2 linked regions of the Struthio camelus genome follow. The protein of the gene in region 1 interacts with the protein of each later gene in a biochemical or structural test. Links are inferred from orthologs where the notes say so. Each region holds a gene or a part of one and is shown in the gene's direction. Other genes may lie near its edges.

Region 1 (3,743 bases):
CAGAGTAGCAAAGAATAGTAAATAGCTCTGAGCAGACTGAGGGCCGAATGAAGCAACTTTCTGGATTAGGACATTAGATGATAATTCTTCTTTTGGAGTAATCTGCTACTAAGTTACAGGGAAAGAAGTCTGAATATTGAATCCAGATGTAATAATGTATACATAAGCAGTTCTCTCTCTCATCATCCCTGTCTTGTGCAAGATGTCTGGAGTTAGAAGACGGTAATCTCTGTGCATATGTGGATAAGAAGTGTGTCTGACCAAAGTAGGTCAAAAAACGGCCACTGCCAGAAGACTAGCTTTTTCTGGTTGGTTGGTTGATTTTTATTTATTTGTTTGTTTGTTCCAGGAATTCTTTAGTAGCAATTTAGGATGAAGGTTTTGTAATAAAATAAAATAACAAAATAAAAATTCTTCTCTACCCTGGCACATCCTATCTTCTTCTTCAGAAATCTACCAAGAAGTTCTGAGGAAAAAAGCACTGATTGCGTGAGTGTGATGTCCAGATATGTCCTTTCTATCCCATTCCAACAGGAGATTCATGGACACAAAGACAGATACCTAACCCTTTCAGGTTTGGCTAATGATCCTTGGTCTAAAGGGTTAATTGAAAACTTAACTCATCTTATGGTTAAAATAACTCAACAGTCCTTGGTCACTCCTCCGTATGTAAGGGTTAAGCAGATTCAGTTGCTGATGTTCTTTGTGAGCTAAGCTGGTGCAGTATTTTGAACCTTTGCTTCAGAAGAATGACTCATGTTTGCATTCTAGAAAATTACTGTTGGGGGACCAACATGTACAAGTCAGTCTGGAACCTGGAGGCTTCATCTGTAAAGGAGCCCAACTTGATTGGGCTTTTTTTAGATCAGTAGGGCTCAAAGTAGGTCCCCTGGCCACCAGTGGTTCTCCACACGTGCTAATCACGTGGTGGTAGTGGCTCCTCCTCTTTGGCTGCCTCTCACAGGCATTTAGGTTTTTCACTGCAGACCTAGATGCCTGCTGAGGTATCTAGGAAGGAAGACCAGTGAGCTAACCCTCGTAAGGGTTGCTGTAGCTGGAGGACGAGAGAGGACTTGCAAGCCTTCAACAGAAGAGACCTGCTAGTAGGGGAAAAGCATTAATTTCATTACTGGCAGGGACCTGAAGCTACCAGGAGCCATTCAGCCGAGTCCAGTCTCAGCACAAGGCTCAAACACTGCCATGGAGGCCAGAGAACCCCCACCAAGGTGAAGTATTGGCAAAGGAAGAACTGGGGAGTATAGGGCATGGGAAGGATGCAAGTATTGGGCAGGTAGTCAGAGGGAGATGAACAGAGGGCTAATGAGACTGACAGACAAAAGGAAAATGCTTTGGTAAATTTAGGGAGTATTGCATTTGCTGAAGAGCTTGCATCTTGTGAGGTAGCAGGGGGGCTCATACCTGACAAAAGAGGCTGTAGGAGATAGAGCATTCTGTGCTGAAGCCTCAGTAGATATATGGCCATGCAAAATGAAATTGGGACTGTTCTGTACGTTCTTCTTCCCTGGCCACTTTTCTTCTTTGGCCAAACTCCAGTAGATATTATAAACCAAGCTTGCTCTCATTCCCCATGACATTGGCGGCCCGGGTTCTTTTGGCATGTTCCTACACTCTCCTTCTAACAGAAATATTCTGGAAAACAGTGTGCTTGTAGGGGCCTCGTCCAGAGGCTGGCGTCTAAGCTGCTTTCTCCCCTCAGGGTGAGAGCCAATAAGTATCAACTTTCAGAAGTTGATACTTACTGAAGTGCTTCTTAGTTTTAATAGAATTGAAAATTTGCTATCAGGTCGTACTTGGTCTGAAACTTTAAAAAAAAAATTTTTTTTTTCTTCCTGACAGCGTGCCCCCAGTAGTTTTTTTGGCTTTCTTCAAATATCTATCAATGAGGATCTGTTAGTTGCGTTTATTATATCAATGTAATGGCTGCTGTATAAGATATGTCTGTCAAAGTGTAACTTCTGCTTAGCGCAATTATGGGTGTTTTCTTTTCAACTTTAACTTTCTGTAAGTTTGGCGTGACTATTTTCCTATCTGGTTGCATTGGACAAATCAAGAAATGTGTGCATCCTTTCTGAGGAGAAAAGGATGTCACGGATGTTTGCTTATTTGTATTAAGTATTCATTCAGGTTTAAGTTAACAAAATGAGTTGCTTTATGTCTTTTCTCTCTCCTCTTTTTTTTTTTTAAGCTGACTTTTATTGCACCTACTAGTCACTTCTGAATAACTTCATCATTTGTAGGGTAACTATAAAAAATGAGTTTATCTGTGACGTGGCATGCAGTAGGAATAGAACATAATTAACTTAGCCACCATCTCGCTGTATGAATTTACTTGCCTCCTCTAACCTCTTTCAATGAAAGAGAAGAATATGCTTGATTGGAAGTGCAATAGGGCTGAACTCCCTCCTGAGAGAGGAGAGGCAGTATGGAGTGGTGGATGAGGATTCAGGAGACGTGGATCCTAATCCAGGCTCTGAGTCTAACCTCCTGCATGACCTTGAGTAAGTCATAGCACTGTGCTGCTTCCTCCTTCCCCTCTTTCACGTTCTCCGTCTTGTCTATTTAGACTGCAAACTGTTGGAGAATCTGCTACATTCTAAGCATTAGGAAGAAAAATACTTTCTCTGTGAAAGTACGTTTCTCCTCTTTAATCTACCCGTTCATCAAATGACAGTTTGTCTGCAGATAGCAGGCTCCTGGACATGAAAGGTAGCAGTAAGTGGAAAACAAGATCAAGTGGTAGATAAACATACCAAGTTTATATTTTTTTAAATGTAATCTCCAAAGTGTACGTACATGTGCGTGAAATTAGCAGTACATAACCCTGTCAATACTTCACACAATTCTTAGCTACTTCCGACTGAAAGCATGCGAGGGTGAGAAAGGAAAAAAATCTAATGTTCGAGACAGCGTGCCTGTGATTCCCTGTGCCGTTGTCATCTTCCGTGCGCTGTAAACAGTGTTGGTGTCTGAGAAGTTTCTGAATTTCGCTCTACTGTTGACCTAGTGTTCAACTAAGGAGTTAATGAACTTTTCTGGGCTATTCTGCTTGCTGTATGGCCCTTACCATGGTTGTCAGGAGCCAACTGCCTTTTTGCTCTGTCACCCAAACTGTGCTGTATTTGTCTTTCCATGTTGTGTGCATGTATGCCAAGAGCCCCTTCTAGATTTGCTAAATCAGAAGCTTTGAAAAGGACAGTGTTTCCTTCTGCAGCCCCAGAAGAGTGATTATTTGCTGGATGATCTTTTGCATGGAGCACTTCCTCTTGGGCTGTTTTGATGGAATGCTTATGATTCTTTTGTCATAGCCCTTAGGGAGGAAACCTCCTATCTTTTAAAATAAGGATGGGAAACAATTTTTCGTTTCAGTTTTTAAAAAGTTAGCTGCACCTGTAAAAATAGATACCTCATGCTAGAGTCCTATCCAAAGCATTGAAATCGTTAGAAAAAAAATCTCTTAGTTAAGAGCAACTTTGGACCAAGCCTGTAAAGCCAAATTTTTGATCAGGTAATCTTGTTATAAAGTTTGGTTTTAGCAAAGTGTTTTAAGCACCTGACTCTCACCAAAATCTGGGGAGTCAGTGAACGCATTCAAGAAATGTCAGCTTACTAGGCCTAAACCAGAAACATTAAGGACCCAATCCCGTTTGCTTCGAACACTTGGACTTATCTGCCTCTGTGGGTTCTCAGTTGATAGTCTTGAAATGTTAGTGGTATCTGTTAAT
Region 2 (3,743 bases), on another chromosome or scaffold:
CCAACCACAACGCCCCCCAACAGCCCCCTTTAGCCACGGTGACAGCTCCTGCCAAGCGCCCAAAGCAGGAAGGGGGCAGAGGGACCAAGCGCCCCTCTTTGCTGTCCTGCGGACGGATGTGGGGCATGCTGTGGGGAAGCTCTGCTCGGCCGCTGCGTGTGCTGAGCCCGCAGCGGAGGGGACGGAGCGCACGCTGAGGCCGGGGCTGCAGCACAACCCGCTCGCTGCGGTGGCTCTGATCCCGCCAGCGTGCGCAGCTGCGGTGGCGAAGGCTCAGCAGCACGGGCTAGAGCGAGACCCGGGCTGCAGAGAGAAGTTGCACTTTGGTTGTTGCACTGAAGACTGTGTCATCACACAGTAACTGCTGTGCATGTGCCGGCAAGAGCAGAGCTAGCATGAGTAAGCTTATTATGCTATAATCACACCTTCCTCTTTCTGGGGACGTAAACTGCTGAGGTATCCAAGTGTGGCAGCGAGGCACAGGCGCTGCCTGAGCCGGAGGCTTTCCTCGTTGGGAACATGTCCGATTTGACACCAGTACCTGCGGCTGTTTTTAAGCAGAGCATGATTATTGAACTTTATAGCCTACCTATCGCCCCTTAAAATAAATAGCCGTGTTTGAGTACAAAGAAGTTAAGTAATCTGCTTTTTAGATGCAAACTCCTTTATGTTTGTATCATTTTATGTTGGGCCCTAGTGGAACCTCTATGTCTGCTTCACAGGCTGGACCAAAAGGTCCCCTGTGTGCTGCCTCGGACAGGTGGAGGCTGCCCACTGACCCTCTGCTCCTGCATTTCGGGAAATCGGGGCTTTGGATCAAGGCTTTGAGCCCTCTCACAATGGTAAGGCCTTTGGGTGCTGACCCATCGTGCCAGTATCCGTCCGTGGTCTCACTTGGGTAGGCTGAGCACAGCAGGCAGGGCGCCCAGGTGGGCCAGGGCGCGCGGCGGCGTGCCGGCGTGCTGGTCCCGCTCCCGGAGCGGGCGCCCGGCTCACCCCGCAGCCCCCTGCCTCCTCGGCTCTGCCCTGGGGTGAGTCGCAGGGCACCGGGGGCGCTGAGCACCTCCCCGGCGGACAAGACGGGGGGGAGGAGCGGGCCTCAGGGCCGGGTCTCCCCGCCCGGTAAACCGAGGGCAGCGCCTCTTCGGGGGGTGTGGGGGGGGGGTGTTGCTGAGCCGCAGGGCAGCGCCGTGCCGCCCCGGGGACCCTCCCCGCCCGCGCCGCCCCCGGCGGGGGGAGGCGGCGGCTCACCTGGAGCGGCGGCGGCGGCGGCGGCGGCGGCGCGGGGGGAGCCCGGCGGGGCCGGAGCCCGGCAGCCCCCGCGGAGCGCCCCGTGCGCGGCCTTTGTCTGCGCCGTCACATGGGCCGCGGTGCGGGATTTAAGCGGGTCTCCGCAGGACATGCCGTGAGCGGCGCGCCGCAGCCCGGCCCGCAGCGGCGGCGGCGGCGCTCCGCCCGGCCGGGGATGCGGCTCTAGCGGCCCGGCGATGAGCGGCTCCTCCATGGCGAAGAGCGAGTCCCGCACTTCGCTGCTGAAGGCGGCGGGCGGCAGGAGGGCGGCGGGCGGCCAGCCCCGGGACCGGGACCGGGACCGGGGCCGGGGCCGGGGCCGGGGCGGGCCGGCGGGGAGGGAGCCGGGCCGGGAGCCGCTCCCCGGGGAGCCCAGCGCCCGCAGGCCGCTGTGCCGCCCGGGCGCCCCGGAGGACGCGGGGCGGCTGTCACATGGCCGGGGGCAGAGCCCGCCGGAGCCGGCGGAAGGAGGGCCGAGGCGAGGCGGCGGCAGGCAGCCGGCGCGGACATCCCGGCACCGCCGCCGCCTCCCGCCGCACGCCGGCCCCGGCCGCCCCCCGGAGCAGCCGCCGCTGGCGGACGGCGATGGGGAGGAGGCGGAGGAGGACTTTTCCTTCAGCGCCGGGCAGCGGTCCAGCAGGGAGTCCCTGAAGCTGCCGGAGGGCGCTTCGCCTCTGTGCAAACCCAGCAGCAAGTGCTCCGCCAAGTCGGGCAGCAGCGACCGCTCGCCGGACGCGGACCCGCTCCTGCACCAGCTGCGCCCCATGCTCAGCTCCGTCTTCGGGCAGGTAAGAGCCGGCGGCGGCGAGCGCGCTGCGCCCCGGCGCGCCTCCCCCGGGCCAGCGGCGCGGCCGGAGGGCGCGGGGCGGCGGCGCCGCCGAGCTCGGGCTCGTCCCCGTCCCCGTCGCCGCCGCCGCCGCCGCCGGCCCGGCCGCCCTCGGGCGGCTGCCGCCGGGGGACGCGCTGTGCTCTCCCCGGCTCCGGCGGGGGAAGTTGTGGCTCTGCCTGGCGAGGGTGAGAGTCAGAGAAGCGAAAAAAAATTTTTTTTAAATCTATTTACTTATTAGATTCCATCTCTCTGGCTCCCCGCCTTGCTTTGCTGTATTTGTTTACATCTCCTTATGGTGCATTTCTGTACAATCAGCATATGAATCACTCCTGATGGCAGAAGCTGTCAGGGGAAGGTAGTGAGGAAGACGACAAAAAAAATCCTGACCCAGTTCCGAAGCCTTCCCAGTCACTACGTTGGGATGGAACAGATGCTTTTGGTGTTTGCAAGCTCTTTGGGTACAAAGCTGTCGTTTTTAGCTGCTTCTGGTAGTGAAATTACCCAACAGGGCTACCCTTCGAAAATGAAAAGGCAGAGGGAGACTGGCTTGAAATTTTCTTTTAGAGCCATTTAGGGATGTTACTGGGAGATGTAATCTCCAGGAAGATTAATGTAACTGCAGTCGCCCAGAAGCACAGTTATAGGTATAAGCCAGCAGCCTGGAGGGCTAAGTTCCAGCCCTGGAAGTGATCGATTAAACCAGAATTATGATTTGTGGGTTTTGTTGTTGGTTGTTGGGTTTTTTTTAAGCTGGTTTGGAAGGCTTTGCAGAATGCTCATTCAAATTATGATTATGGAGTGAACAAGAAGAATCTTTGTAATTGGGGGAAGGACATGATGCTCCCGTGTCTTATTTAGTTTGGTCTCAGAAAGTGTTGTCTACCTCTGTTCACCTTGACTTCTCCAGAGAAAAATCAAACCTCATCTGTTCTCCTTCTCAATAATTTTGCATCCTCAGTGACAGTCTGTTGATTTATGAATGTTACTGTTGTGTTTAACTCGGAACTAATATTACCCCTTCTGTGCCACCAGTATACCAGAAGCCTAGATTAAAATGTTGTAGTTGCAATAAGGAAGGGTCTAGTGAATGGCCAGCTGCTCAATTAGGTAACAAAAAGCAATATTTCGATACCGGACTTTGAAATCCATGGGCTCGGCTCTGTCTTCTGCTGTCCCTGTAGTTCTGACAGAAGTGAGGTGCATCTAAGAAGAAGGTTTTAAGTCTAACCGGCACTGTACGTTCCGAAATGTCAGAATTAGGAACAAATCCATGCCAGGACTCCCCCTCACAACCCCCCGTCTGGCTTGGAGCTCCGTCCTTGCCCCAGCTGCGCCGGGACCGAACGGCATCGCTATTTTACCTGTTTTGCTGCTTGCATTCCAAAGTCGTGAGACACTTTTGAATGCCATAAACTTAGCAAAATTTAATTCCAGCGTTGAACAATGCTACTTACAGAAAAGAGACAGATATGATTCTAGCTTTAGTTCTTTCGCTCAGTACCTAGCACCCGTGCTTATAAACAAACACCAACATCTTTCTTTCGGAGTGTAGCGCTCTTTATTCCCATTTCTGTCTGTATTCATCTGTCACTTGCTTTCTTTGAAGTAACTATGAGAAAACGAC

The links. The genes of interacting proteins can lie anywhere in the genome.
Region 2: the proteins of ITPR1 (region 1) and CABP1 form a complex in vitro, tested with the Homo sapiens proteins (2 studies listed by BioGRID). The link is inferred for Struthio camelus from reciprocal best matches to the Homo sapiens genes ITPR1 and CABP1.

The regions. Positions count from the first base shown.
Region 1 is NC_090955.1:2,743,218-2,746,960, reverse strand, and holds the start of ITPR1 (inositol 1,4,5-trisphosphate-gated calcium channel ITPR1), read left to right. Parts: upstream 1-1,006; 5' UTR 1,007-1,200; coding exon 1,201-1,226; intron 1,227-3,743. UniProt on the Homo sapiens protein: Inositol 1,4,5-trisphosphate-gated calcium channel that, upon inositol 1,4,5-trisphosphate binding, mediates calcium release from the endoplasmic reticulum (ER).
Region 2 is NC_090958.1:8,013,878-8,017,620, forward strand, and holds the start of CABP1 (calcium-binding protein 1), read left to right. Parts: upstream 1-1,487; coding exon 1,488-2,078; intron 2,079-3,743. UniProt on the Homo sapiens protein: Modulates calcium-dependent activity of inositol 1,4,5-triphosphate receptors (ITPRs). Inhibits agonist-induced intracellular calcium signaling.